Caenorhabditis elegans: one gene and its partners. The protein of the gene in region 2 purifies or fractionates together with the protein of the main gene of each other region. This does not show direct contact. Each region holds a gene or a part of one and is shown on either strand. Other genes may lie near its edges. The genes, in order: rab-14, galt-1 and R04E5.9.

Region 1 (9,115 bases), on a different chromosome or scaffold from region 2:
AGCTTCCAAACAATCGCTTCCCAAGTGCCGAACCTTCTTCTCAATCTTCTCAACATCTTCATTGTCGTCAAGTAAGGTCATCGTCGCTTATCAGCGCTGCCAACTTGTGGCATGCGAGATAAGTGCCAGAGGTCGACAGAAAATGATGAATTGATGCGCCGGCGTTCGCAACAAAAAAAATGTGACACGCGGGAGAAGGTGTCGATTGGTTTCTTTAAGATCTACGAATTAGATTGAGAAGTTGGTATAATTATTGAAGGGGGTGTCTGAAGAAAAAGTGATCAAATATTTTTTGAAAGCGTGGTCAATAAGGTAACATCAATAAAAGTTTTGAAGTTAATTCTTGAATTGAATTGCTCCAAAATCTGAGAAATGATCCTGCCACAGTACGAACTTTCATAATGCTGGTCTAAAAAACAAGTCACAATTAATTCAAAACTTTTTTTTAAATTCCAAATATGCATCTTCAATTTTCAGGGGAGGACTTGCTGGCCGCATCACTGTCGGACTCTCCATCGTAGCTGTCTGTGTGATCACTACTATGATCTTCATCTACGTCGAAACCTCCACATGTGAGTGATAAGGACACGTGAACTTTTTTTTGCAGATCATCAAACATCGATATCTTCTTTTTTTCAACTAATCTACATACTTCCAGGGCTCACTGGATTTTTCACTCTTACCATCATCACAATCATCGTGTTGAACGGAGCAAATGGAGTCTATCAAAACAGTATCTTCGGCCTCGCTTCTGAACTTCCATTCAAGTACACCAATGCTGTCATCATTGGAAATAACTTGTGCGGAACATTCGTTACCTTGCTCAGTATGTCAACCAAGGCTGTCACTCGCAACATCCTGGATAGATCATTCGCCTACTTTTCAATTGCGTTGATCACATTGGTCTTCTGCTTCATCTCGTTCCACATCCTTAAGAAGCAACGCTTCTACCAGTTTTACAGCACACGTGCCGAAAGACAACGCGCCAAGAATGAGGAAGCAGCTGACAACGAAGGAAAGATGGCAAACTACATTGCGACCTTCAAAGAGGCTTTCCCACAACTTATTAATGTATTTTTGGTGTTTTTCGTCACGCTTTCAATCTTCCCTGGAGTCATGATGTACGTTAAGGATGAGAAGAAAGGAGGAACCTACGATTTCCCATTGCCACGTGAGTTTATCACCAAGCTGGTAAATTTAAAAAAAAAATTAAATTTTAGAGAACTACTTCATGGATGTTACCACATTCCTTCAATTCAACGTGTTTGCCTTCATCGGATCAATCGTCGCCGGGAGAAAGCAATGGGTAAGTGCCTCTGAAAGTTGACAGAAATTAAGTCTTTATTACAGCCCGCCCCGAACAAGCTCTGGATCCCAGTCTACCTCCGTCTCCTCTACATCCCATTCTTCATCTTCTGCAACTACCTCCCTGAGACCCGCACACTCCCGGTCTTCTTCGAATCCACGTGGCTTTTCATCATTGTGGCCGCATCGATGAGCTTCGGAAGTGGATACTTCTCAGGACTCTCCATGATGTACACTTCAAAGACTGTCGATCCATCAAAGGCTCAGGTGGCTGGAATGATGGCTGGATTTTTCCTCATTTCAGGAATCGTCTCAGGTCTCATTTTCACTATGGTCATCAAGTTTGTCGTCACTGCCTAAATTTTTCAAAAACTTCTAACATTAAAGACACCTCATTAGCGCAATCAATGCTCTAACCAAAAATTCTTGCATAACAAGAACATTGCATTGTATCTTATTTTTTACTAACCCAATTATCTTCCCTTCAAGGTTTCAAAATATTAATATCGTTAATTTCAAGTGCACTTACTATTAGTTTTCCTTTTTTCTATCCTTTAAATACCACTTTGTATTTCCCAAATACCTCAATCTATTAGTTGTTTCGTTGTTTTTCTTCTCTTCCTTCCTCAAGTATTATCGCAGCTCCATCTCGTTGTTTTTTTTCTTTATTCTGTTGCAATTTTTACGACTATCCCTTTTTGTGAATAAAGAATGCTTGTTAAGGTTAACATTGTAAAAAGCTGTAATATATGTTTTCAAGTTTTGGTAGTTTATGTAAGATCTCCACAAAATTATAAATTATTTGGTTAATACTATTTTTGAGTAATTATAAATGATTGTGGTATTAATTTGTAAGCCTATCCAGGTGCTGTTTTTTGAGCTTATTATACATAGTTTCTAGAATTCAATCGTTTTCCAATTCTTGTTGTTCACAACATCTATGAAAAATTAAGATCTCATAAAGATTACAAGAAAGTTTAGGCTATGCCTAAGCGCTTCAATTGCACTGGTGAAGCGAAATGTGCTTACGCAAATTTTCAAATTTCTGACAGTTTACTAATTTAGGTGAGTAACTAGAATCAGGGGTGGGCGGCAATTGCCTTTCGGCAAATTGAATTGTCGACAAATTGCGGGGTTGCCGATTTGCCTGAAATTTTCATTTTCGGCAAGTTGCCGATTTGCCGTTTGCCGAATATCAGATTTCCCGGAAATTTTTAGAGGGACTTTTTATAGAACGGAAACTCTTAAAACCGTTTTTTTTTGAATTTTTTCCGTTTTGTCTACATATTTTCATAGAATTTGCTTACTTTTCGAAATAGATGTAGGAATATTCATAGGATGCGTAAAATTTTGTCATTTGAAATTGGAATTCTAAAATTTCCAAAAAAATAAGTGCGAAACCACAATTTGCAGAAATTTTTTGGCAAGTTTCTTTTTTTCCAGCAAATTTGGCGAATCGGCAATTTGCCGATTAGCCGATTTGCCGGAAATCTGCAATTCCTGCAATCTGCCGATTTGCCGATTTGCCGGAAACAATCGTTTGCTGCCCACCCGTGACTAGAATCCCATTTCAGCCACGGATTACTCTGTCATTAGAAAAATTTACGCACACTTGAAAACACATTTGACTATTACTGGTGATGTTAACTTTGAAGATTGAGCACTTCATGCTTCAATGAATAGTTTTTTTAAATATTATATGTACAATTGAATTTTGCTGAAAAATGATTAAACAAAAAAAATAAATTTTGAAAAAGTTTTCTGAAATCATAGGTTCATAAAACTAACAACAGAGAACTATTTATAAGGAAAAGTGACAAAAATGACAAAAATCGTTAGTTTTTTTGATTTTCAAAGCACAATTATAGCACTTAATGGGGTGGGATCATATAGATGTTTCTTATCACACAAGGAATGGGGGAAAAATGTTCAAAACGGTTTTTGACAGAAAAAATCTACTAAATATGCAGTTGGTTGGGTGAGCGAAAGTGTTATATTATGAACGGTTCACAGTTCGATGATGATAGTGAGTAATGGGTGGGGGACTGAAAAAGACTGGGAATTGGTAAGTAAAAGTGACACAAAGTTCTGAATTTCAGAGTAGTTTTATAGTGATTACAAGTTTAGATTTTGACAGGCAACTAGAATTTGGAAACAAGAAACCATACCACCCAATGTTGATTCTTCTGGCATTTTAATGATAATGGGTGACAAGCTCTCACATACAGATAGACGGATTAGAAAGTAATAATTTAAAAAAATACATTAAAATCAATTGGGAATGATTTGAGGGGAAGAAGGGACTTTGCACACATCAACTAGCAGTTGCAGTCCTTCTTCCCATTATTTTCAGCTGCACGTGGCAAGTTCTGTTTTGGCTGGACGCCAGTGTCGGCGGCGTTCAAGTCCAAACTTCCGTCTTGGATATTCTGATAGATTTGCTTGGCCGTTTCGAGGAAAGCGTCTTCGACGTTACTGCCACTGAAAAAAAAGCCATTTGAAATTGATGAATTTGCAGTGGGGGGGTGGGGGGAAGAAACTTACGTCTTCGCACTGCACTCCAAGAAAGTGAGCCCGTTTTCTTCGGCGAAAGCTTTTGCTTCCTCGTATGGCACGTCACGTTGATCTTCGAGGTCGGCTTTGTTTCCGATAAGAAAGATGGCCTGAAAAAGGAACTTGTGAGAATTGGTGCTTGAATCTCATTTTTATTGTAAAATTAAATCAGTGCAAAGTGGACGAAATACTGTTTTCTTACTAATACAGGTAGATTTTTAACTCTCCAAATAAAACTAGATAACCCAATTTTAACTCGTTTTTTTTAGATATTAGTTTAACGATAAAACACACAATTTAGAGCACATACAGATTGAATGTTTTCCAGCTTAAATCTGATTCATGAGAATTTTGATTGAAATTCAGTTTATAGTCTACGATCTTTTGAGCTGCAAATAAATGTTATGCTTGCAAAAATTCATAAATTGCAATTTACTAAACATGGCGTACATCTATGTAGTTTTGAAATTTTGCTGAAAGTTCAAATTCGCTTTAATTTTGGAACTTGGGAATGCTTTTATAAAGTATAAATTCGAGTTTTTATATATTTTTCAACCCTACTTTTGAGTAAAAATTATAAACCAAGTATATATTTTACCTACCGTATTTGGATTGGTCAAGCTTTTTGCGTCGGCCAACCAGCTGCTCAAATGATTGTAGGTAGAACGGCGAGTGATGTCGTAGACCATCAAGGCTCCGGCTGCTCCACGATAATATGATCGCGTCACAGCGCGGAATCGCTCCTGGCCCGCCGTGTCCCAGATTTGAAGCTTGATCTTCTGTCCGCTGACCTCAATAATCCTGGTGCCGAATTCCACGCCGATTGTGTGCGGGCAGTCGGCCATGACTGAAAGTTAGTTATAGTTAGTTTTTGCGTTTGTTGCCCGCAGTGATTGTACGGTGGTTATTGACCGGAGGAACAGGTCTCTTGTTGATGACTAATGTTGACACAAACAACATGATATATCGATTTTCCAGGAATGCGGGACTTACACTTCTTTTCTGTGAACTGATGAAGAAGACACGATTTTCCGACACCCATATCACCAATAATAATATATTTGAAAATATACGAATAATTGTAAGGAGCAGCCGTCATTTTTATGTGTTTTTGTTACCTGAAAGTTGCGGATTATATTTTGGTTATTCGTTTCAGAAAAAAGGATACAAAAAAGTAGCAATGAGAATAGATAGACCACACAAAAGAAAGTGGCTATTAGAGACTGACTGCCAAGTTGTCATTAGTTGGAAGTAGGGGAAAACCGACGGGGAGAGAGAGACAAATGTGGAAGTAGTTGGGATAGAGAAAGATGAACGCCACGTCCAAAAGCAATAGAGAATCCATTGGCCTCCAGAAAGCTAAAAGAGGCAATGTCGGAGAGAGAGAGAGGAGCAGTTGTACGAGGAGTGCTACGCAATGGAATATCACGAGGAAAGAGACACTGGACAAAAACGGGGGCCCCTCCATTCCTCTATCTCTGTCTTCTCTGAGAAACGACGCGTCGCGTACTATCGACCGCGACGCTTGCAACGGAACTGGTCTCTACTGCGTGTCTCTAACGTCTCGCTCTCGGTGTGCGCTGTACTGTGCTGTCTGACTCTCGCCTTATGTGCCGCGTAGGAGACGGATTGGAGATGAAGAAAAAAACACGTAGAGAGACAAAAAGAGAGAAGAGTGAAATGACGAGTGAATGCGCACGTGTGTGTGGGCTCTAGCTTTTCTCCTTATTCATCTGTCATTGGTGTTGAGCCAGCTATCTTTTTCCTTGTTCCAAAGAGATCATGCTTTTTCTTTTTCATATACGTAGATGCCTAAGACATGGAAAAAACAATTATTTCCTCCTGCTTCTTGTTTTGCTCTTCAAATTCATCTTCAGAACAGAGTAAAATACTATAATATTAAATATGCTTAATAGCCTAATCAAATTGCAAATTATGACTTCAATTTCCAACCATGGCTCCCCTAATCGGTTACAACTCGTTTGTGAACAGTCTTACAGTTCTCGAGACATTTGATTTTATCACTATTCGACCATCTACCCACTCATTCTCTATCTCTCGTTTCGGTCCCCGTAGTTTCCTTCTCTGACACTTGTGTTGATCGTAGTGCCGCGATGATATTTCGCAATACCTGCTGATGCACGAGCTTCTCTCATCGCCACGCGCTCTCTTCCGATTCCTCTCGTCGTTTCTGTGATATGTGAAGAAGGGCGGTCCTCCCTCTAGTCATCTACAATGTAGTATTGCGAAATATTAAAAAAAAAAAAAACGGAAAATTCATTGTGAAACCCTCGCAGCCAGTAATGTTTCGCAATAACACCCCTTCATTCTTACCAATTCTAGGGTTATCATTCTTTGCATTTTCTTGTCTGTAGTCTACCAACTTTATCTCATTTGCTTCTTCTCCTTTTGTAACAATGTTCCCTAAACATTATTTTTTTTGTTTTTCAGGGTATGGCTCGTACAAAATGCAAAACCAAAACCGTAGCCAATCCTAGAACTGGAGTCAGAAAAACCGCAAAAGATCTTTCTGAACCAGTTCGTCAGGATGCCGTTTCAAGAAGGAGGCCCACAACTCTTCCTTTTGTTGGAAATACCTCAAGTCGTCCAAGGGTGTTTTACGATGTTCTAGCCAAGAAGAATGTCGTCTTCCCAAATGTCAAAGCAGAGTACCACTATAGAGTTCGCAATGCTCCGAAGATTGATCCAAAGAATTTTGGCACGACGCTTCCAATCTGCTATTCTTCAATCGGACCTGCAAAAACACTTGAACTTCGTCCACTGGGTCGTCTACCCCCGCACATCATCAAAGCGTTGAATGATCACTACGTGCAACTGACACGTGGATCTATGGTTCCGGCTGCGGATCTATATAACAATGGAGATCATCCAGCAGAACAACGCATACCAACAATGTTGAATGAGAATGAGTACTTGCGTTTGATCCAGGAACTCGAGGAAGAGGAGAAGTCGAAGCAGTTTTCAGCTACATCCAGCTCCGCACCACATGTGAACCCATATAGTGCCCAACACTTGGTGAGTTGAAATTAAAATTTGAAATCTTCTCATTCAAAAGAATCAATGTTAAGGTTAACGGTGAAATTATCGGAATCTTTGTCATTTATGGAACTGGTCTTGTTACTCGCGCTGTTTGCTCACAAACTCGCGAAATGTTTACCGCTCACGTGCTTCCTGAATGGAAAGCGTCGAAAGTGATTGACGTCATTCGACGACTTCAAATCCCCACCGACATCTCATCCATGACCGCTGATGAAATCCGTTTAAGGTGAGTCAAAAAAAATGCTCATATGATGAAACAAAGGGGGGATTATGAAATCATTTAAAAAGTAAAAGTCAGAATCGGGACGCTGACGTCATAAAGTCAGAAAGTTGATACAATCTTTGAATAATTCAGCGAACTCTGCATATCAAAGAGAATGGAAATTATCAAGAGTAACGACAGATACATTCTTATGAATCCGTGCGAATCGGCTACAATTCACTCCTACGCCACCGAGCGTCTTGATGAAATAACTGAAAACGACGTGATGAGTATCTACCAAAAGGTTGTGGAGATTGTTCGATTTTGTCATTCGAGAAAAGTGATTCTCCAAAACTTCAAGCCTAGAAGCTTCTACCTAAAGAAAGATGCACATAACAAATGGGTTGTTCGTCCGTGCTTCCTTCAAGACATGAGCTGTGAGGAAGATCAGTCCGAAGCGCAATTTACTCGTAGATCAGTTTGCGTTCCATTCATGGCTCCGGAGGTTTGCAGTTCAAATATTGTTCCACATTAAAAAACATAAAATTTCAGATGCTCACTGCCGAGTCGAGAACACATCATAGCTATAGCACCGAGCTTTGGGGACTTGGTGTCTTACTGTACATATTGCTAACTGGAAAGTATCCATTCCATGAGAATAGTATGCCACTGTTGTTCCGTACCATCAAATTCAAACAACATCGCTGGCCGTTTAATTTTATATCCTCCAAAAGTAGGTCAAAGTGAAAAAATTGAAATGGTTTAAACTCCGCGCCTATTTTAGGTAGAAACATTGTGAACATGCTGCTAAAAAAAGCACCAGCAACCCGAATGAATCTCGAAGATCTGTGGAATCAAGTGAATGGAGATTTCCCGGAAATTAGATGTCGTTCCAACATAATCCTGAAGAAACAGGATATGATTGTGAAGATGGACCTGTTCGAGATGTACTACAACACCTATAAAGATCGACTTCTTCCGAAAAACGTACTCCCAATGTATGAAGAAATGAAGGCTTGCAGAAATGATTCAACAATTCTCACCGAAATGGCAAAGAGAGATTTTCGCTCAATTCAAGAGCAGATGAAACGTCGAATTGAAACGAAACCAACTGAATATCAAACATTAGTGATGCAAGTTCGCCTGCAACAGATCAACCAACTATTCTTCGAGAAGGAAGTAAGCCAAGCCCAAAAGCAACATCGTGCTCCAAGACTGGTCCAACTGAAATGCAGTGATATATCGAAAGAGCTACTGCTTCCCGGTGACATTTACCCAATTAGCGAACATTATCACCCAAGCCAGCAGCCAGTTGATAAAGTCGTCTACAAGCTTCTGTCCGACGCCAATTCGCTGGCGTTTCCAACTGTTATGAAAGGGACCGTTCCGAAATCATATCCACCTCCGGTGTTCAAGGGACTTGACATATCGCCCTCCTAAATAGAACATGTAAATAGATAGCTAGCTTTCTTTATGTACTTTCCAACTTTCTGTATGTTCTCTCGCATCCTTGTAATTAACTCGTCAGAAATTCTTATTCTACCAACTTTCAAAATTCCGAATATTTTAGAAAATCTGTAATGTAATTCAAGGTCGACAAACTACCTCTATGGGTGTTTTATTTATCATCATGTCTGTTTTTTGTTTCAATCTCCAACTTCATGTAACTACTCTTATCTCATATAAGGTCTGCCAATGTGTATTCCTCCCTGTCTCCTCCCAGTCAGCATTCAAACTTTCGCAAGAAGTTTCGATACTGTAGCACTGCTATAATATACATATTCACAAAACTCTTTTACAAAACCGATAAGCCTGTGAATTATCAATAAACATTGGGTCACAAACGACGAAATAGAATTGCATTCGAGATAAGAACTTTATCATTGAAAAGTGAGCAGAATTCATTGCAAGCAGAAAGTTCGATTTCGCAACAGACACGTCTCACGTGCAAGTTGGTAATTTGAAAAAGTCATGCAACATTGGAAATTGAAAATA
Region 2 (9,564 bases):
TTGAGACCGCGGGTATCTCATAAGTTTCTCACTTATCAGTTTTTCCCACGGTTTCATATCCTTCTTTTTTCGCTTTTCAACTGCCGTATTTGCTCTCAAGATACGAAATATCTCACATGATTGTATACGGCTTTAGATGTGTTATACTAATCTTTTGACTTTTTTAAATTTAAATTGACATTTATTATTATTAAATTTCCAATCTTCAAAGCAGCTTGGAACATGCGTTCCTCAATTATTTTCCCACCCTTCTTTTTGTTTTTAGTTTTCCTTGTTCTGTCGTCATGCTTATTTTCAGTCTCGTTTTTCTCGTATTCCGGGACATCTTCGCACGTCGTTTCTCAAAAAAGTTCAGTATATTCAAGTCATTGAGCCAATTATGTTTCAAATTGTATACTATACAAAATGACGTCCGCATTCACCCTCTCATCTATTTTAGAATCTTTTTCAGATGTCACTCAATTATCAAGACTTGACACTTGCTCTTCAGTTGTACACTGTTGTCCTTTGTGTCATCGGGCTATTTGGCAATGTCAATTTAATTATAGCAACATGTCGTCATAAGTCTTTACGCACAAAAATGGGTGAGAGTTTAGGAATTTTGTGTGAAAAATATTTTTATGAATTTTTTTTAAATGAATACTAAGCGTTTTCCCGGATTCTACAGCTTACTTTTAGATACTTAAAAATTAAATCTCCCGAACATATTCTGCAGCTTTCCTATCGGTTTTTTTTAGAGTTCACAAACAATTTCTCGCAATCACTAATCCATCTTTGAATGTTGATATTTTAAAAGAACGTGATAAAAGATAAAAGTCAAAACTAACAAATCCCGAAATCCTTGAAGTGAAACGTAACATTCAAAAATTATAAAATAATCCTAAAAAATACGTACCTTTTCTCTGATTTTTAGGATGCCTGATCATGATATCTACAATTGCCCATACAATATGTTTGGTTTCAGAGCTTATTTGTGTAAAGTTGAAACTGAGGTAAGCTTTATATATTTCCATTTCATTCATTAGAGGTAGTTTTTCAGATTCACCCAAACGCATCGGGACGAATGTTTTCGTTCTGTTATTGTTTACATGTTCGCCGTTCTTTTTCAATCAACTCTGTTTTTGATGATGGCAATTGATCTCTTTTTAGCAGTTATTATGCCAATACGGTAAGTACTATATACAACTTTTATTTATAGTTTGAGGGCTTCTATTTTAGCAAAAAAAAGACTATTTGATTTTCTGCAAGCTAAATCTGAATTTTTTCACTGTAAAAAATCCTAGTTTTTTCCAGGACAGTGACTTCACTAGTTTGACACCCCATTATTCCATTTTGACATGTTTTTTGTACATTTCAAAGGTTCCTATGAATATTTAACAATATTATATAAAATTAGAAATAACATTTTTGTTAGTTTACAATATAACAATACAGCAAAAAACCGCAATATTAGCTGCTGAACTTAAAAATTGGTTGCAAGACTAGTTGTAGAAGAATCTTTTTTATTTTTCATATATGCCGCCGACTTACAAAATTCAGTTCAGTTCATGACCATTTTGGAGCGTCTAGTTTTCTCTTGCAGTTAGAAACGAGCAATTGAGTTGCGCACTGAATCAGATTTGTTTTCAAAAAGTCATGCTCTCGTCAAACTATTCTAGATAGTTTCAAAAGTTGTGCACTTTTGATGGTGGTGTTTTTACAAAATAAAAGCATGCTTTTGAAAAATAGCAAATTTTGAGATTTTGGAATCAACATGCTGAAAATAGAAATTAATGCGTTTTGTGATGTCATCCCACAACAATTTTGATTGCCATTTTGTGATATGATTTACTTTTTCCTGGAATTTTTAAATTTTTAAATACTCTTCTCTGTCAACTCCACTACGTGCATTTGAACTCGATATGCTCGCCAGCAGTTCAGTAAACAGAAGAATGCGTGTGGATCTTGGAGAATAAGTGTAATTCTGAGAAATTGGGTGGGAAGGGTTGTTGCGATGACGTTTTCAGCTTTTTTTTTCGGAAGGGGATGGATTTGTTGGTTTTAGAGGGATTTTTCTATTTGAGAATGCTGGAGAGGTGCTTGATGAGGAACTATTAGTTCTAGTATTTGATATTTCAATGTTTAAGTTGGTAACGCGAAAAGATCAAAAGACCACAAAACCACGGGTTCCGAACACATTGGCACTTTAATTTCCTCACTTTAATTTCAATTTTCAGACACAAACTCTGGCGTCGTGGTCCATATTTGTTTGCTCTCTGCATTCCGCCAATGTTGTTCTCCTGTTTTGCTCTTTTTATAGAAGAAATCTACATCAATCACGACGATTTGCTCATCTGCACGGTGACTCTTGGTTAGTTGATTTAGTGGGCATTGAAACAACTTAAGCACTAGGTCAAGTTGTTTAAAAACGGAAATATGATCATCTAAACAAGGTACTTTAAAAATTAGTTTAATTTTACTACTTTAAGAATTTTAAGGAATTTCGAGAAATAATTTTTTTAGCTGCTCCACCTGCAGTCCGGTTTTGGGGTACGCTCATCACAATTTCAACAATATTTCTGGCCGTTTCACTAATTTTCGTAACAGCCTTTAAAGTTCATATTAACGGTATCCATTTTTGAAAATATTCTCAAAACGATACTTCTACATTACAGAACGAGAATCAGCACGAAGGATACTAAGACACTCGAACAGTATTACAAGCAATACAAAATGTTCAGATTCAAAATTGCTCAAGTCATTGTCAACTCTGATGTTTGTGTTTGTGTGCTCGTGGAGTTTATCCATTTTGTTATCACACGTTTCATTATATTTTACAAAAAATGTCGCGTATGAAATTCAAAAGTACAATGTAAGTGTGCTTGCAAAAAGTTTCCATGGGTGGTATAAAGTGCATTTTTAAATTGAAAAATTTTTAGAGAACATACTTTCTAATGTAGCAAAAGTTTTATTGAATATGAAAAGTGCCAAAAAAAACTCTAAGATTTTTCCATAGCTCAAAACATTTTTCGAAAAAATTGACTTGAATTTCATCAAAAGTAAAATTACAATTTCCAGATCCTCCTCTCCCTTCCAACATTCTGCCAAAACTTTTTTGTAACCGGTCTTCGATCTCCACGATACGCTAAAGCCTATGCAGAACAACTCTCATTTCTTCCTTTTGTCAGTCAACGGGTCTCCCAGTTCCGGCAGAATTCTTCTGTAAAATCTGCATTTGTTTGAAAAAATTTTTGCGTTCCAATTTATTTTGTTTTTTTTTTATTAATTCTGATATAATATGTTTTTATTGTTTTTTCACTGTGATCTGTTATGGAATAAAATTGGGCATAAAATTTGAAACACTATTTAATTAGAAATGGAGCCAGAAAAGTATGAAAAGACCACGGTTTTTGATGCAATCTATAAAATTTATTGTAAAGTTTGTGATCAAAATGACACATTGGCTTGATAAGAGGTTCAAAATACATTTGCAAAATGCAACATTGCTTGAATGTTTGTAAACGACACTCTTAGAGTTTATAACATTCAAAGTAAACAATAGTATCAAACGTGAATAGTATCAACATTTCACCATCTATGTAGATGAAAAATCAATGAATATTTCGTGGAACTAATTTGAATTATGTAATTTCCCACATTTGGTATGACGGGAACCATCGTGTATACCATTGTTACTGATAACAAAGTGCTCTGATAGCACTATACATTCTGTCCTTGAGTACTTCTGAATGCCTCGAATCACCGCCAGTAAAATAGTTCTTCTAATTGCATTATCATTTTGTATTACTGTTATTTATCACTTTCCAATAGCAACGAGAAGCAGTAAGGAGTACGATGAATATGGAAATGAATAGTAAGTAGTTATAACTTATCGTTATTGTCAAACTGTCTAAAAATCTACTTTCTCAGTTATCCCCTAATTTTCGTGTAAAGGAAACATTTTTAAAATAATAATGTTCTCAATGAAAATTCAGCCTAAAATTTGTAGTTTTAATTTTTAACGCGAAAACTATAAAGTGATGTTACATGATACTTAAATAAAGACCAAGGGAAATTGTCTTCCTGATGCAAACGCTGATTGCGAACAAGTGATTGATTAGGGAAGTCACAACTTCAGATGTTGCATATTTTATGATCCATCTCACATTTTCAAATTTCAATTATTATATAAATTTGCAGTGAAAACGTTGCATCGATAGAGTCGGATATAAAAAATGTACGTCGATTACTTGACGAGGTACCGGATCCCTCACAAAACCGTCTACAATTCCTGAAACTTGATGAGCATGCTTTTGCATTCTCGGCCTACACAGACGATCGAAATGGAAATATGGGGTACAAATATGTCCGAGTCCTGATGTTTATCACGTCACAAGACAACTTTTCCTGTGAAATAAACGGGAGAAAGTCCACAGATGTATCACTTTACGAGTTCTCGGAAAATCACAAAATGAAGTGGCAAATGTTTATTTTGAATTGTAAACTACCCGATGGTATAGATTTCAATAATGTTAGCTCTGTAAAGGTGAAAAAATAAAAGGAATATTTTGATAACTTTGATTTTCAGGTCATAAGAAGCACAACCAAGCAGTTTGTTGATGTGCCGATTCGGTATAGAATTCAAGATGAGAAAATAATTACGCCAGACGAATATGACTATAAAATGTCAATTTGTGTTCCAGCATTGTTTGGAAATGGATATGATGCAAAGCGAATTGTTGAGGTGATTATTGCGAAAACTTTGCCAGGACTTTTGTAGTGACCCACACATACAGCAAAAAAAATTTTGACAAAGTATTAATAATAAACTAATTTTACAGTTTATTGAGCTGAATACTTTGCAAGGAATCGAGAAAATATACATTTACACTAATCAAAAAGAGCTTGATGGATCCATGAAGAAAACGTTGAAATACTATTCGGATAATCAGTGAGTTTGATTTTAGAAAAATTTGATTTTTGATTCAATTATCTTGCAGCAAAATAACATTAATTGATTACACATTACCATTCAGAGAGGATGGTGTTTGGTATCACGGGCAATTGGCAACTGTTACTGGTAAATTTACTTTCCCAACTGAAATGTTTTAATAGAACTATTGATGAGCCAGACGCTTAACCGAATCTAAAGTACCGAAAATGGAATATAGCCTTTTCAAGGAAATTTTCTCCCACTTAACAAACTCATCAACATTTACAAAATGCCAAATTAGTTTCTCTTAACTCTTGTTATCACTCGAAATTTTTTTCTGGCTCTAGCTGTAAGAATCATTGTTGACACACACACACACACACACACACACACACACACACACACACACACACACACACACACACACACACACACACACACACACACACACACACACACAACCTTTAAACACTCAAGCAGTTTTCAGATTGTTTACTGAGAAACACTGGAATCACAAAATACACATTTTTCAATGATTTTGATGAGTTCTTCGTCCCCGTTATCAAAAGTCGGACTCTCTTTGAAACAATCAGTGGGCTTTTTGAAGATCCCACTATTGGATCGCAACGAACAGCTTTGAAGTATATAAATGCAAAGTAAGTTTTTAGTTCTCTAGGTGATTAATTTTTGAAACGTTTTCAGAATCAAGAGCGCTCCGTATTCACTGAAAAATATTGTTTCCGAAAAACGAATTGAAACAAGATTCACGAAATGTGTAGTTCGACCGGAAATGGTTTTTGAACAGGTGAGATTATAATACTTGAAAACCCCGGTACAGATCAAACAATCGATTTTTGATTTTGCCTTTTTTTTGCCCAACTCTTGCCAGACATTAAATATTCTAGTTCAACTTATTTTACAAAACTCTGTTTCAACTTCAAACTAGCGTTGGACTTAATCGTCTAGAAACAGTTAACCTCCTTGGGCATATCTTGGATTAAAAAAATTGTGACACATATTGAAGTTTTCTGTGTACTTTAAATTTTGTAAGAAAATTATTTTTACAGGGTATTCATCATACGAGTAGAGTGATTCAAGACAACTATAAAACGGTTTCCCATGGCGGATCCCTTCTACGGGTTTATCATTACAAGGATAAAAAGTATTGTTGCGAAGACGAGAGCCTCTTGAAAAAACGGCATGGAGATCAACTTCGGGAAAAATTCGATTCAGTTGTTGGTCTTTTAGACTTGTAGCTCATTTGTTAATTTATATTATTTATTAGTCAAATTCTCAAATCTATAATGCATAAATATTGTTACACCGCTAGCTGGAGATCGACACATTTACAATAATCCGTTGAAAATGAGAAATGCCCGCATTGGCTCGGAGAAGTGGTTTTGAGTCGTGGAGGGTAGGCAATTGTTACTTCTTGAGTGGCTTGAATTAGACGAAATTGTGATAACAGTTCTACAGAATCTCCATTTTTGGATTCTAACTGACATTCGAGGTATGGGTAGATAACAGCACTTCCTTTTTCCTTTTTTCGTATTACTTCGCTATCACTGATTTTTGTTCTAGCCCACACTTGGACATAATTGTTTGGCATTATCATTTCCGTCTGAAATTCTTTTAAATTCATTTTTTAAAGCTTGTTAGACATTCGACAGGCCGAGGCGTGATAAGGCGCGTCTCATCCGCCTATTAAGAATGCCTAATTGTAAGACAAATTACTACATACATACCACGTTTCCACATTTGATTGTAGTTATATCAAAACAATCTTTGAAATCATCCATATAAGATTTCAATACATCTTGGAGTAATTCAGAATTTGGAAGCTCTGAAAACTAATTTGTTTAAAAGTAATTCCACAGTTCTTACTTCGGATATCTTGAGAAGCATCAACCATACAAAGACAATGATTACTGATTACACCATTATCTTGACATGTAGCATTAGTTGGTTGAACTTCAAAAAGGTTCTTGCTTCTTTTCGAACTATCCAAGTTTTTGGAAAGGCTAATGAGAAATTTCAACGTTGAGTGTAAGTGAAAGTTTCTGAAAAAAAAGTTATTAGTAGCAAATTTCAGAAACTCGGACTCTACCGGTGTCCGGTTTTTTCAGGTTTTGGGCAATCCAGTTCTTTTTTTTTTGGTGTTACATAGTTCTTTCAATAATTTTTTTGACAGTACCCAAGATTTTTGCCTTGTTAATTAATATAACTGGACACAGTTTTCTCACAGTTAATAAAATCTGAAAAGCGACATGAAAAATGCCCTTTTAAAAACCGGACGTCAGATTTACCAGATTGGCTCAAAAAAGCTTACGAAACAAATTTCTGTGAATTTTCTCTCAAGTTCTGAAACTTCTCCGGAAACAACTTTCGAAACCTTGGAGGAACTAATATGTTCAGAAGTGGAGCTCGTTCTTCTGAAATTTAATATTTCAATTTCTTCGGCTCCCAAATCATTGATTACCTATTTTTCCAGCAAATGTATACCTATTCAGCGGATGAACCCGATTTCCATGATCACCAAGAATAATTAGAATTGTGTTTTCCAAACTTCCTGTTTTCTGAAAGATTTCAGGGAATTTCGGAATTATTTTTTGAAAATTAAATTTAAATATTCCAATCTGTGATACAACGTATTATCCAGTAGATTTAGGTTATTCGGGTCATCATGGGTCAAACTGAAATTTTCAAAAATGCATTATAGATCTTCTGAACAAATAAACCTCGATATAAATGTAAATCCAAAATGCGGAAGTTTTCCAAAAACTCGTTCGAATCGAAACCACGAGTCAATGAACACTTCCGCTAACAACTGTCCATCCAAACATTTTCTCCACCAATTATTCATTTGAGTGTACAAATGGTTGTAGTAAGGACGATAATAGAACTTTGCAGGTGGTTTCGAAAATCCACCCAGAAAATTATCAGGTGGATAATGAAAAAGTCCCCGTGACGTGTGCATAATATCGTCGTTGTACATTGTTATGTATTCTGGTGGCAGCTGTTTCCATATCCATTGAATTGTATCCGGGTTTAATGGAGTTTTTGAAGGTAGGATTTTGTTAATATTTACGTCTCCTGTCTCGTCGATTAAGGACATGCTTTCGGTTTCCTGGAGTTCGTTGGCAAAAATGGGAAGCATGTTTACTGCGCTGTTATCGCCGACCTGGAGGAATCAATATTTTTGTTGGATGGAGAAAAACGTTCGCCAAAAATTTAAAATTTGAAATTGATTGAAAGTGAAATTTCGAAAAAACATCAATAAAATGTTATTCGATTTCTGTTTGGCAGATTTTATAAAAGATGAAGGAGAAGCGTGATTTGGGAATTTGCTAGAAAATACCAAAAACTGTATGATATTCAGAAATACCTCGAAAAAAAACTGAAAAAAACTCGAATGAGAATGAAAAATCCAAAAAAAAAAAGGCTTTTGGCTTGCTTTTGTGACTTCAAATTGAAAAATCAAGTTCGGACTTTTGAAACAACCTCAATTTCACTTTTTTTTTCGTATTTTTTTTTTTGATTTTCCGATTATTTTTTTTTAAAGCAAAATCCCCATTCACCTTACTCCATCTTTAAGCCGACGTAGATATATATATCGCCTTCAAAAAGTGCGTAGGTGGGAATTTTTGTGCCTACAGTCAAAAGTTTGAAACTTAATAAAATTGTTTCACAAGTTTGTATATGTAACTGCTTACACAATTGAACTTTTTTTTAAAATATTTTCGTTTTATAGATATTATATTTCAAATACCATTGACACAAACCTTATTATAGGCATTAAACACAACACTTCCCAGACGATCCAAGAGGCCACTGGTCTTTTTCATATTCCTCCCGAATTGAGCTCGGGATGTTGAATCTAATCCTAGAATTGAAATAGAGAATCTTGTTGATTTTTCGCCGTGAAAAGTATAATCAGGTTCAGGTATTACAAATGATCCATCCACAACTAGAGGTAACTTTTCTTGCATATTCAGTCCCATGAATTGCTTTCGATAGATCACTAGTTGTTTGGAGAAACATGTAATAAGAAAATTGTCAGCATTGATCCAAAATCGCTTGTTTAGTTTTGGACTGAACTGGAAATTTACAATCGGTAATTTATAAAAAAGCAAATAAATATGAAGCGTACATTTTGTGTTCTTCCAAGTTTAAAAGTATGAGCTTCCGGCCGTAGTCCACCTTTGAGCACTTGAGCAACACATTCCAAGTTATTTTTGTAACTTTTTAACTTCATTGAGAACTCTCCAGTAGCTGGGTATCGTTTGAAAAGATCGATGTTATACTTTTCACAGCTCGCATGTTTCGGGAATTTCAATCGTTTCTGAAAAATTTTTATTTGGCTTGCCTAGAAATTTATAGAAAAACTTCAGTATGAAAACTACCTTCAAAGTTGAATCCATTGGATCTGTCCAAGCAAATTTACAGTAGTTGTCAAATAAATGGGCCTGCCTATGGGGCTCCGAGAAGTTCCGAAATTCAAGTTTTAAATTTGGTTTGAAATTTAGATGAGACTGCGAAACAATATAGAATAGGCATATGAGACTAGTGATAAGGACGATCTGAAATTATACTTCTTGGAGATGATAAAATCTAAAAATGTGAAACCTGAATTAATGCTGAAATTGTCCGCC
Region 3 (11,501 bases), on a different chromosome or scaffold from region 2:
TTTCATCGATTTCTGAATTTGAATAAGGTTTACATGATAGGAAAATGGAAAAATCATTAATGACGTTTGCCTTTAACAGTTGAAATTTTAAAAAATTCGGGCAATAAACAGAAACTATAATTTATTATCTGAATGGGTTTGAGTTACTGTCCATTATCTACTACTCGAATGTGGTTTGTTTTTCTTTCTGCAATAAACAAAATACATATGTTTCAGAAAGTGTTCATAATCACTTTTTAAAACATAATCCATATTTTACCCCGAACTTTCATCTAGTACCAAAACATACCAAGATGAAGCTGTCTACTGTACCATCCGCAAACTTTCCATGGTGATGCTTCTTAACTTCCGTAGCCTTAGCCACCATTGCAAGATGATAATCTCCCAATTTGAACTCATCCATCAAAGCTGTCAATGGCATACTTTCATCTACAATTCTCAGCCGTCTCTTGTTGAATCTGGCTACTGCTTTCACTGTGATATTGTTGTCCTTCCCAATCAATGCCAAATCACTAACGTACAATAAGTTTTTCACCTAGAAGCATTAAAAATTTTAGTTAACTACATTTGAGTAACTGCAACCTTATTCCTGTTGTTTCCCTCAAAAACTGGAATTCTGGTGTACCCGGAATCAGAAATTTTTGTCATCGTTTCAGCGTTAAGAACTTGATCTTCAGACAGCATAAAAACGTCCTGAAAACTTTTCTAGAATTTTTGAGAATTATTCAAACTAACATCAATATCAGTCATAACGTCGCGTACAGACTTTTTCGTTAGTTCCATTGCTCCAATCGCTATTTTCAGAGTAGATAAATCCTTAAAAAAATAATTAAAGCATTATCCCGTTATCTTAAAACGTACAATATCACAGGCATCATTTTCCATGTTCATTTTGAGCATTTCTACCATCCTCGATCTATTCACTACATCAATGTCAACACCAGCATATTTGTCGAGAATCTGCGAAAAACTTGGTTTATTGTTTCTGGTTTCTTGTTTCTGGAATTTTTACTTTTCCAAGTGGCCACGTTATTGGGAATAAGAGAAACATGAAGAACTTGGTGATGAAAATTGTGTTAGCACCCACTGCCAATCCATACCTAAAATTTTGCAAATTTTCCATCAAACGGGACAGTAAGGGTTCTTGGATTTTAGATTTGAGATTTTTTTAGCACAATTTTCAAATTGGTAGGTAACTGAATTAGGAAAACTAGTAATTTTCTATCTGCTGGGAATGTACAAAACTTAACAAATCTTTGCGAGGCGACCAAAATCTGCAGAATAGAATGAAAATTAGTTTCCCGCAGGTAAGTTGATTAAAATCGATATAGGGATAAGTTTGAAAACCTTTTCCCGGTACATTGAACAACTTTAAATGTTTTTTTATAAATTATACTATTAAAATCAGTGGAATCATGTTTAAAAAGATGTTGGATTAATCTAACTTCACACATATGCTCTGCGGTAGAATTTCTCCAAAAACAACAATGCCAACTGTGGAAGCTACAAAAGCTATCAGACCTTCTGCCAAATCATCGAAAAGAAGTGTAATTCCAGTGTTGACAATCTTAAATTTTGAATAAAAAAAATAAGTTGACGTTAAATCTAACAAAACTCACAACATTCATAATAATAACAGTGCACAGTAACCGATTACCATGACATCTAATTGGGTAAATTGCTGCCGCATGCTTTTTCTCTCTTTGTGATCCTGCAAATTCACATAAAATTTGGTCTTTGATAAATAATAAAACAGTACCTGATTTCATCAAGATACTAAGTTCTTGCGGTGTCAAAGCCATTAGTCCCAATGTCAATCCGGAACACAGTGCTGATATGGAGAACAGTAGGCATAAAATTGCGCACTGAAATATTTTAGTTTAACGAAGGTAAGAGTTTTACAATTTTTTAATTCGAAAGCATTTGAAGGTGGACTACGGCTTATGGGGTGGCCAAAACATTTTCAAAAATATTGGTAAAAGTGATTTCTAATCAAAAAGCACTGAAAGCTCTGTTTTTATCAATTTTTTAGAAGTCGTCGGGTACTTGTGTATTATACCCCCGCCATTTTAAAAATTAATCAAATTTCCAATTAATTTATCCGTAAAAATTAAACGTGATGCCCATTTTCTTCGTAAACCTTAGGAATGGTGTTTTCCTAAGCATAAAAATACAAAAGAATTTCACAGGTTTTTAATTTATAAGTTAAAAAATTATTTTTTTAATGGCGGGGGTATAATACACAAGTACCAGTCGTCGGGAAAAAAATAATTTGCTTTGTTTTTTATTTAAATTGTGTTCAATATATTTATATACCAACATTGTAGACGTTAAAACATTTGCAACACTGATCTATAATTGAAATTTGGCATTTTAAGGAAAAATGCTAATAACCATCTCATGGTTGTTTACCTGAGCCCAAACAGGCATGAAAGTTTCATGAGTACTCTGGACAGCTTGAATCCAGGTTCTATCGTCATCGATTTGTATTAGTCCATGACACTCTGATTTTAGACAAATTCTCCATGGCTGGGGCCACCTGTAATTTACAACTAGCATTAACGAGTTCAAAATAATTGCCTTACGCTACGAAAGCATATTTAAAGACTATTTTCATATCTTTATGAATGTAGAAGGTGCTTTCTGATACATTAAACTCGGATGTCACGCAGACAGAATCAGTAAATGTCACCATTTCAACCTGAAATCAGAATGTGGAAAAGTTGGTATAGGCTGATAAATACATTTTCTAGTCCATGACCAAAAATCACAAGATCCACTTCAGTGTTTGCCTCCACCAATAACTCTCCAGCATCGCTGAAATTTTGTTACATTTTGTCGTACACCCTCGTCTGGTATTTTTTATCCCATTGTATTTAGTGCATTATCTAATTTTCTCTAATGAAGCTTTATTCTAAAGTAATGTAAACACCCAGATGAAATGCCATTATGACAATATACAAGCTTCACGTTTATGTCAAAACATGCAATTGAATTTAATTGAACAATGTAGTCCTTTCAATCAATAAAAAAGATGGCATTCCGTATGAAATACTTGTAATTACTTTAGTGCAAGTTGTACTGTGTATTAGAAGGTTCCTCATTTCTTACCCATATCCTAAAAATCCTGACGCGTCTACATCGCTTTCAATCCGAACTCCTGATACCACTGGCCGTATTTCCTGAATTTCCATCAATGTTTTTTTGTTTTCCTTTACGAAATTTCTCACCAGTTTTCCGTCTATGCATACAATGTGTGCACAGAGCAAAAGTAAACGTAGAAAAACTTTAATGATCATCAAATTAGACGTGGTATAGTGTGGTGGCGATAATGAATAAACGAGTGGTGAAAATGAAGAAAGTGCGTATCAGTAGGGGGCACTGATAACAATCTAGGTGGTTCATGTCTATGTGACATGAATGCTTGTTTTGGGGCTCTTTCAGTTTATGGGTGTCTAGAATCAAAATTTGCATGTGACAGGCTAAAGACAGGTTTCGAAGTGTTTTATCAATTTTGCATCCAGTCAGAAATTTTTGTTTAAAATATGATTCGTTTTTTCTCCAGTAATGCTTTTTGCCGGTTCATAGGAGATATCTTTTGTTTTGGGATAGGAAAGTAACTTTTTGGTTTCTCCTTTTTTTTAAAGCATAATCTATGAGTATTGGTGTTTTTTTATTTTAGTTGAACGTTCATTAATGATGTGACTACTTATTCAAAGCAAATCCAATAACTTCCACTGAAATAAAATTTCGGGATATTAAAAAAAATACAGCCTTATATTTTTTTGTAATTTTGTCACAACATTTCATGTTCATTTGGCATGACGAACAGCGAATAACTTTCATTTTTTAGACTATTTCGATCTTCCAGTTCTATCATCATTTTTGATATCCCTTATTTTCTTGATGACATTTTTGGGCAGTAGACGTGTCTACGCTGAAGGTTTGTTGTCCTATGAACGCGGGAATTGCAATTTTTTTCTTTTACGCTGAAAAAGTAATTTAAATAATGCTCTAGAAGTTTTCTCATCAATATTCGTTTGTCATGTTCGTTTAAGGAAGAAAAATTTAATGAAAAGTGCCCAGAATACATCTTCTCGGGACAAAAAATGCCAGTCCCCTACTTCATCCCGATCATTATTGTTTTCGTATCAAAAATTCATCAACCCTCACGTCAACATCTTGCTTTCATCGCCAGCTCGCCATTCTCAATTTTTCCTTTTTCTGTCCGCCTTATCTCACGTGCGCGCGCGTCCCGTCGTCCTCTCTGTTTTTTTGTAAATGTGAGTGTGTGGCAGAAAGCGAGGGTTTATAGGGCATTGGCGAGAGAGTGTGTGAAAAAGAGAGTGTGTCTTCGTTGTGTCTGAACACGCGACGCGCAGGGAGAGGGACGCAACGCGGTCGCTTCCAACTATTTTCTGTGTTCCTGCGGTGCGTGTGTGTATGTGCGTACCCTGCATCGATTTTTGGCTCGAGTAGTGGAGACGCCGAGAGTATGAAGTAGGTTTTTCCTCTAATGTTTAAATTTTCAAATTAACATTTCTTATTTCTTTCAGAGAGTTCATCAAAAAAGAAGAACCGATTTTCGAGGAGGAAGATGCGCATGTGCTGGGCGACGATGAACCAGATGGAGATCTGCCAGAACTTCCAAAGTAAGAACACCAGGAAAGTTAGCTCTTTTTTTACTTTTTTTTATTCAGAATTGCTGCTCGGCAGAGAAAATCAAAGATCGTGAGAAAACAAGGCAGGAAAACGAAAAGGAAGACTCGAAAGTCAAAGACAGGAGCAACAAAGCGAAGGAAAGGAACTAAACGACGACGGAAAACCACATCAAAATCGTTAGACAAAGGGGAAAGTATTGGAAGAGTCAAGCGATACGGGCGAGAAAAGGAACAAAAGCTTCATATTCGCCAAAAGTAAGTTTTTGAGAATTTATAAAGTAGTTTCTCAAAAAAAAAATCAGTAATGCTAGAGATAATAGAAATGTGACATTAAAAACTTGAATTATTGAACTCCAAAGCCAAATGCGTCGCATGCTCCCGAAATCATATCGGAATCAATTTTTCACTGGTTTTCTTCCAATCGCATATGAGCAGTGTCGTCCAACGTTAGGGTACGGTGATCAGATATCAGCTTTTCGAAGGGCAGTAACACGCTTGTAGTTCGGTCATTTCCTACTCGAAAAATTGTTGAGGGCTAATACATAAAGACATTATGTTCAAGCTTGCTGCACTGTGGTTCTGGTAGTCAGTCGCATTTTTCTGGCGATGCTCATACCGTGCAAGGCATTGCACTATTTGAACAGTGACGCAATCTAGTTGAAACTTGAATTTACCGACACTTCGACTTCTGAATCGGTCGTCATTCTACTATCACCCAATGTCCTGCTTCTAAAAAACTATGCTTGTTTAACAGAAGTTAATTTTATCTTCTGGTAAACGAGAAGCAGAAACCTTTCCATAACTACTGGAAATGTATCGAAGAAAACAGTTTTCCGAAAAATTATATGTGGAGGGGCTCGTACTGTTTATCGAAAGTTAATTCCAATTCAAAAGAAAAACGTTTAGCTTAGCAATGCAGCAAAGATACAACTTCCTGCACAATTTAACTTTTTGTCAAAAAGAAAACTGAAATCCTACGAAACATACATATATTCTGCAATTGACTTCAATTATATTCTTCATCGAAGTTTCACTCAAAAATTACTACATCGTGACGGCTGATTTCACGAGAAAAAGGAAAGCAGCACGAATCTATTTTCGATTGCTGTCACATGTATTTTTTGTTTTCAAATTTTTACAATCACTCAAAATACAGAAAATAAAATTACTACAGAAATTTTTATGTCTACATAATCATGTTAATCTGTAAGCATTTAAAATTCTGCTGTCAGAAGAAGCGCCACAAGAGTTTAAATATAGCTTAAAATTACGCAGTATTTTTTAATTTTGAATATGACTAATAAAATCATAGCTTAGCGTTCACATATTCTGATCGCCTACTAATTTTTCTATTTCTGTGATTCGGAGTATGATGACTTTCTGTGAACAATGTTGCATTTTTCATAACTCTCGAACTTATAGGTTTTCTGCAGATACATCCTTTTCAACATTAAAAGGTGGCCTGGAAAAATATATTTAACTGACGAATAGAAAACTTCTTTGAGGTTTATTGAGAAAAAAAAGCTCAAAGAAGGAATAACGGTTCAAGATATCTGTTTCAATATTTTAGTTTGTAGTATTACTTTGAGCTTGTTGAGAAAAAACCCAGAAATTTTCTCTCTCTTTTATTCTCTCTCTTTTTGAGCTTATTTAAATTAATTGTTAATATTTGCGGACTGTTAATAGCCAAACGATGATAAAAAATTGTTTACACCTATACGCAGTTTCAGTTTATAGCGGGCGATTGTTTTTCGCAGCACAACTCCAGTCCCTGTCTCATTACAAATTCATGAAGATAGTAGAGTTGGAACACAACCATTTATTTAACATTCGTAGGCAATCGCCTGAAATGAAATGACGTGAGCTTTAGCGCACAGAAAATTGGGAGCACGCAAATGATGAATGGTATCCATCAATCTCAAACACCGATATTTCGTGACGTTTTTCTTTTCGTGAGCCTATAATTCAATGTGACGTGGCAAGCGCTCTGAAATTATATATTACATCACTTCCGGGTTTAGGAAAATTCGAGGTCTGAATATCAGATCCTGAATTTTGAAAAAAAAAACGTAAATTTTTAAAAGTTGTTACTTGATGAATGTTGCACAAGAATTCTTCTTTAATTCTCATATAGAATTTATTAGAATAACAGAAAACCTTGCTGATAAATGCAATGTTTGGAATAAGCCAAAACATTAGCTGTCCTTCCCTGGTCTGAATGTCAAGCTCAATCTGATTGATAAAGTTCCAATTCAATTAACTAAACAACTTTTTTCAAAAAAATGTTATGATCAGATCGTATTCACAAAGTGCATCAGAAAACAGGGAATACGGGGTTCCTTGGCCTTCATTCCGAGATGACAAACTTTTTGGTGGCAAAGGTTCTTTGGGGGCAAAGTATCCAAGGAGACAAAGGATCCAGTAGACAAACTGGGGTGTGTCTTGGGGGGCATATCTTTGGTGACAACCTTTTTTTCAACTAGATTTTTATATGTATTTTTCAACTAATTTTTGTTCAAATTTTTCTGGAATAAGTTTTTTAATGCAATTTTCAATCGATTATCGGTTATAATTCCCTCACAATTGAATGTATGAACGATGGTCTTTTGGGAAAAGCTGTAAAACGTCCAACTAACTTGGAATATCGTGAGGCTCTTCCTGATGGCCTGATCCTTCAGATAAGAAGGATCGTAAGGGTACCTCCTGATGGTCTGATACTTCAGCTCCAAAGGATCACGAGGCTCTTCCTGATGTTCTGATCCTTCCGATCCGAAGGATCACATGGGTACCTTCTGATGATCTGATCCTTCAGATAAGAAGGATCGTAAGGGTACCTCCTGATGGTCTGATCCTTCAGATCCAAAGGATCATGAGGCTCTTCCTGATGTTCTGATCCTTCAGCTCCAAAAGAACATGAGGCTCTGCCTGATGTTCTGATCCTTCAGCTTCGACGGATCATATGGATTTTTGACAAAATTTGAAAAAAAATTTGAAAAAATTGACCATCAGGAGGTACCCTTACGATCCTTCTTATCTGAAGGATCAGAACATCAGAAGGTACCCATGTGATCCTTCGGAGCTGAAGGATCAGACCATCAGGAAGAGCCTCACGATATTCCAAGTTAGTTGGACGTTTTACAGCTTTTCCCAAAAGACCATCGTTCAAACATTCAATTGTGAGGGAATTATAACCGATAATCGATTGAAAATTGCATTAAAAAACTTATTCCAGAAAAATTTGAACAAAAATTAGTTGAAAAATACATATAAAAATCTAGTTGAAAAAAAGGTTGTCACCAAAGATATGCCCCCCAAGATACACCCCAGTTTGTCTACTGGATCCTTTGTCTCCTTGGATACTTTGCCCCCAAAGAACCTTTGCCACCAAAAAGTTTGTCATCTCGGAATGAAGGCCGGGTTCCTTTCTTTGATGGAAAAAGAAATTCACGAATTTTCGGCTTTTACGTCTTACCGTTTTTGAGAGCTATGTATCGTCAGTCTTCTCTTATCTACACAATTTTAATCATTAAAGCACAATTACAATACTTGCTACAGAAAAATAATTGTCGAGGGAAGCACCGATTTTTTTGTGAATCTTTATTCTAAAAGCCAAAATCATGCTTACCCCAAACATGTCATAACATTTAATTATTTCAGCGATGATGTCATTGTGGTCGATGAGGTCCCAAGTGCAGATAAAGTTCCCACTCCACCTCCTGCGCCTGCAAAGCCTACGTGAGATGCCAAATTTTTATCATGCTAAATTATAACAATAATCCCCTTTCAGGCCGTCGAACATTCTTGATCAAATCCTTTTCGCTCAGGAAAAAGTTCTTGCTCCAACTGATACCGCAAGAAAGTCGTTCACCAAAAACAAAATCCTTCCAAACGAACGACGCAGTGTTTGGTTTGCTTCTTAAGCCTTCTATTTTTAGAATGTTCCCTCGATTTTCAGGTAACTTCGAGATGATGTGAGGCGTGAAACACGACTGGTCCGCCCTCTACGCATAGTCTTTTTCATTGCACACACACACACACACACACACAAACAAAAACAGCATATATACCCTGTGCCCACGCTCATTTCCTTGAATGCACACCACGTCTTCGACGCCGTGCTGCGCCAACACGAGGCCCTGTGCCGTCGATGTTGCCGCCGTCGCCCCCCCCCCCCCCTCCTCTAATGCGACCGACTCGCGCCCATCTTGTTTTTCTTCTACTCATTTTCTCTACTCGATCGCCGCTCACACGCACACTCTTTTATTTTCCTGTCTGCGCCTCCCCTCTCTGTTCGCTCCTTTTCAGACTGCCGGTTTTGGTGAGCTGGTGAGTGCGGCGGGGCCAACGTGATCCGTGTGTAAGATGAATAGAGAGATGAGAAGGGCTCGTCGTCGCTGCACGCGGCGTGACTCGGTCAGAACTCTCGTTCTTCTCCCTTTTCACGGATCAATGGCCACGATGCGTGCGCTCACAGTGGGTATCTCATGGCAACGCATTGCTTTGCTCCGCCTTTTTTATCGACAGCAAAATTTGTCTTTCTCTCCCGTCAACTCTTCTCATCTCTTACTGATACCTACGTGTATACTTCATTGTTCCAAATACTGAATGTATTTCTTGCTCAATTTTCGAGTGTACCATTTATACTCCTTTTTTAATTTTCTCAAACTCTCTGAATGCTTTAAAATATGTACATATCATAAATAAAGTTCATTTCAGGTGAAAATGCACGGACACGACAGACCGGGCTCATCGTCCGGTGGATATTTCAACCCGCCAAGAAACAATCAATATCATTATCCAGAGAATCATCATCATCCCTACCCCGAAAACATAGCTAACTTGGTACCGCCATCAAACTTCCAGGCCATGCATTATAATCACAACTACATGGCTCATGCGGCTTCCATTGCTCACACGTACGGGGGTTATCCGCCTCCATATCCATATCAACATCCTCACCAGCCGCCGCCTGCACATCCACATCATCTTCAGCATCCACACCCCTATGCATATCCTGGATACCCTGTTCCTGGTCAGGAAGGCCACCAAGTGCCGGCACCACAACACGGTGATCATGAAGCAAGTCCACCGCCTCCTCCACCACCCAGGAAATCAAGAGCTGGGGGATCGTCGCCGCCACCCCCACCGCCACCAAGAGTTCCGCGGACACCCCCGCCAAGAAGCCCTCCACCACGGAGACCACCGATGACTCCACCATCACCGCAACGCAGACCACCGAGAACTCCTCCGTCTCCGGAGCCACGGAATCCGCCGAGGACTCCTCCGTCGCCTATTCCACCACCACCACCACGTCTAAACAGTCACGATCGGAGAGCATTGAGAGCACGTCGTCCAATGGTTCATCGTCCGGTAGGTTCTCTTTTTGATATCATTGAGTTTTCGTAACTGAAATTTGAGAACATTATATAAACAATTTTTCCAGTTTACTGGTTTAACAAAATATTTTTTCAGGCTCCTTACGGTCGCCGCTCCATAAGTCAGGGACCTGGAAGAAATAACGACGACGTAAGTTAAACGGTTATGAATTCTAGTTACAAACTTACAATTTTTCAGTGGGGAAGTCGCGAGTACGGAAAATATGCCGAGCGTCTTGCAAGCACAGAGCTGAAAAAGCTGTAGGTTTTACAATGAAGGAGTAGAAAGGATATATGGATTTTGCAGGCATCTCGAACGAGAAGATTACAAGCAAGTTTTGCGAGTAGTTGCAAATGCAGCAAAAACCTTCCGATTTGATGATTTTGAAGTTCGGTCTCATCTGCTATCCGGATACCGTTTCTACATGAATGGAGAAGATGCAAACGGCACAAAGCGTGAGTTAATAACTTGATGTTCCTTTGACTAGGCTGCAATTTTCTCTGACTAATTGAGCAGCAAAATTGTTTATTTTGTTAAGTATGATACCCAGAATAGTTTTATTTAAAAAAAGACTCATCTTCTATGTATCAAAACTTCTATCTTTATATCATTTTATGAAATTATTTATTTCAGAGTTCTCCATCCCACATAATATGGATCGGCCACCAGCCCCTCGTTACTGGATCATTGATAATGAAGTTCGAAGCAATCCACCATCGCCAGTTTTCCGTCCAGAAGCTTCGTTAAGTCCATCGGTCAATGTTGACTACGGAGAGGGGTCATCGAACCAAGCTGCACAAATGTTTGAGCCGGGAGAAGACCAAACTGCGTTCTATCGAAGACTTTTGGCTGGGTTCGCTGCACAAGGACGGACATTTGGACAGCGAGAAGGAGAGATTCCAGCCATATACGGAGCCGACGGTCTTTTGACAGAATGGGGATACGAGCTGCATCTCTTAAACCAAGCTCGACAATTAGAATCGAAGCCTCCATTGGTTCATTATGAGGAGGTTGGATTTGATCGTAAAGACGACGACGAAACGTATGAGCCCTATCAGGGCGGCCAAGCTCAGCCAGACGGATCTCCAAGTGAGTACAGCCCAAATCATGTTCGCCGTGGACCAAAAACTCCACCAGAGAGAGAAGAATCTGTGGAGTTTTCTCCGGGCCATATTCCAGTCGGCCCAAAAACACCACCAATGCCCGATGAGAGTCTCGAAGACGATAAGAGATCACCAATAATGGATGGTAATCAATTCGAGGAGATGGAACTGTATCCAATGGACCCAGAACAAGAGGTTTCGATGAATTTTGTTCCTGTGAAGCCTCAAGCTGTGGTCCCTGAACAAGTTGCATCTGAGGAAAATGAAGCTAATCCAATGGAAGTAGATTCGGGAGATTTGATGAAACTGGCTGTGGACTCTATTGATCAAAATGCAGCAGTTGTTTCAAATGGCTCATCAA

Evidence for each region.
Region 1: the proteins of galt-1 (region 2) and rab-14 fractionate together in Caenorhabditis elegans (co-fractionation; one large-scale study listed by BioGRID). This does not show direct contact.
Region 3: the proteins of galt-1 (region 2) and R04E5.9 fractionate together in Caenorhabditis elegans (co-fractionation; one large-scale study listed by BioGRID). This does not show direct contact.

Annotation. Positions count from the first base shown.
Region 1 is NC_003284.9:15,601,660-15,610,774, forward strand, and holds rab-14 (Ras-related protein Rab-14), read right to left. Parts: upstream 4,977-9,115; 5' UTR 4,958-4,976; coding exon 4,852-4,957; intron 4,706-4,851; coding exon 4,461-4,705; intron 3,969-4,460; coding exon 3,850-3,968; intron 3,787-3,849; coding exon 3,624-3,786; 3' UTR 2,976-3,623; downstream 1-2,975. Other genes in the region: ent-2 (Equilibrative nucleoside transporter 3), read left to right, coding at 1-71, 478-572, 659-1,171, 1,221-1,306, 1,351-1,665; Protein nipi-3, read left to right, coding at 6,313-6,894, 6,948-7,144, 7,274-7,625, 7,673-7,853, 7,905-8,560.
Region 2 is NC_003283.11:5,927,196-5,936,759, forward strand, and holds galt-1 (Beta-1,4-galactosyltransferase galt-1), read left to right. Parts: upstream 1-3,709; 5' UTR 3,710-3,728; coding exon 3,729-3,853; intron 3,854-4,179; coding exon 4,180-4,525; intron 4,526-4,567; coding exon 4,568-4,723; intron 4,724-4,820; coding exon 4,821-4,930; intron 4,931-4,979; coding exon 4,980-5,059; intron 5,060-5,277; exon of another isoform or gene 5,278-5,374; intron 5,375-5,399; coding exon 5,400-5,568; intron 5,569-5,614; coding exon 5,615-5,717; intron 5,718-5,979; coding exon 5,980-6,168; 3' UTR 6,169-6,240; downstream 6,241-9,564. Other genes in the region: srsx-17 (G-protein coupled receptors family 1 profile domain-containing protein), read left to right, coding at 452-584, 914-992, 1,040-1,168, 2,217-2,350, 2,503-2,607, 2,655-2,851, 3,058-3,222; M03F8.5 (Glycosyltransferase family 92 protein), read right to left, coding at 7,515-7,605, 7,651-8,093, 8,695-9,009, 9,063-9,254, 9,316-9,492, 9,539-9,564. UniProt on the Caenorhabditis elegans protein: Catalyzes the transfer of beta-galactose from UDP-galactose to position 4 of alpha-1,6-linked fucose at the reducing end GlcNAc in N-glycan cores.
Region 3 is NC_003284.9:8,803,988-8,815,488, reverse strand, and holds R04E5.9 (uncharacterized protein), read left to right. Parts: upstream 1-4,346; 5' UTR 4,347-4,495; coding exon 4,496-4,500; intron 4,501-4,556; coding exon 4,557-4,652; intron 4,653-4,700; coding exon 4,701-4,916; intron 4,917-8,318; coding exon 8,319-8,396; intron 8,397-8,448; coding exon 8,449-8,568; intron 8,569-8,616; coding exon 8,617-8,620; 3' UTR 8,621-8,831; downstream 8,832-11,501. Other genes in the region: Metal transporter cnnm-2, read right to left, coding at 1-12, 290-535, 583-693, 736-816, 862-960, 1,013-1,100, 1,446-1,567, 1,620-1,711 and 6 more; R04E5.8 (JmjC domain-containing protein), read left to right, coding at 9,384-10,031, 10,134-10,187, 10,236-10,297, 10,344-10,492, 10,671-11,501.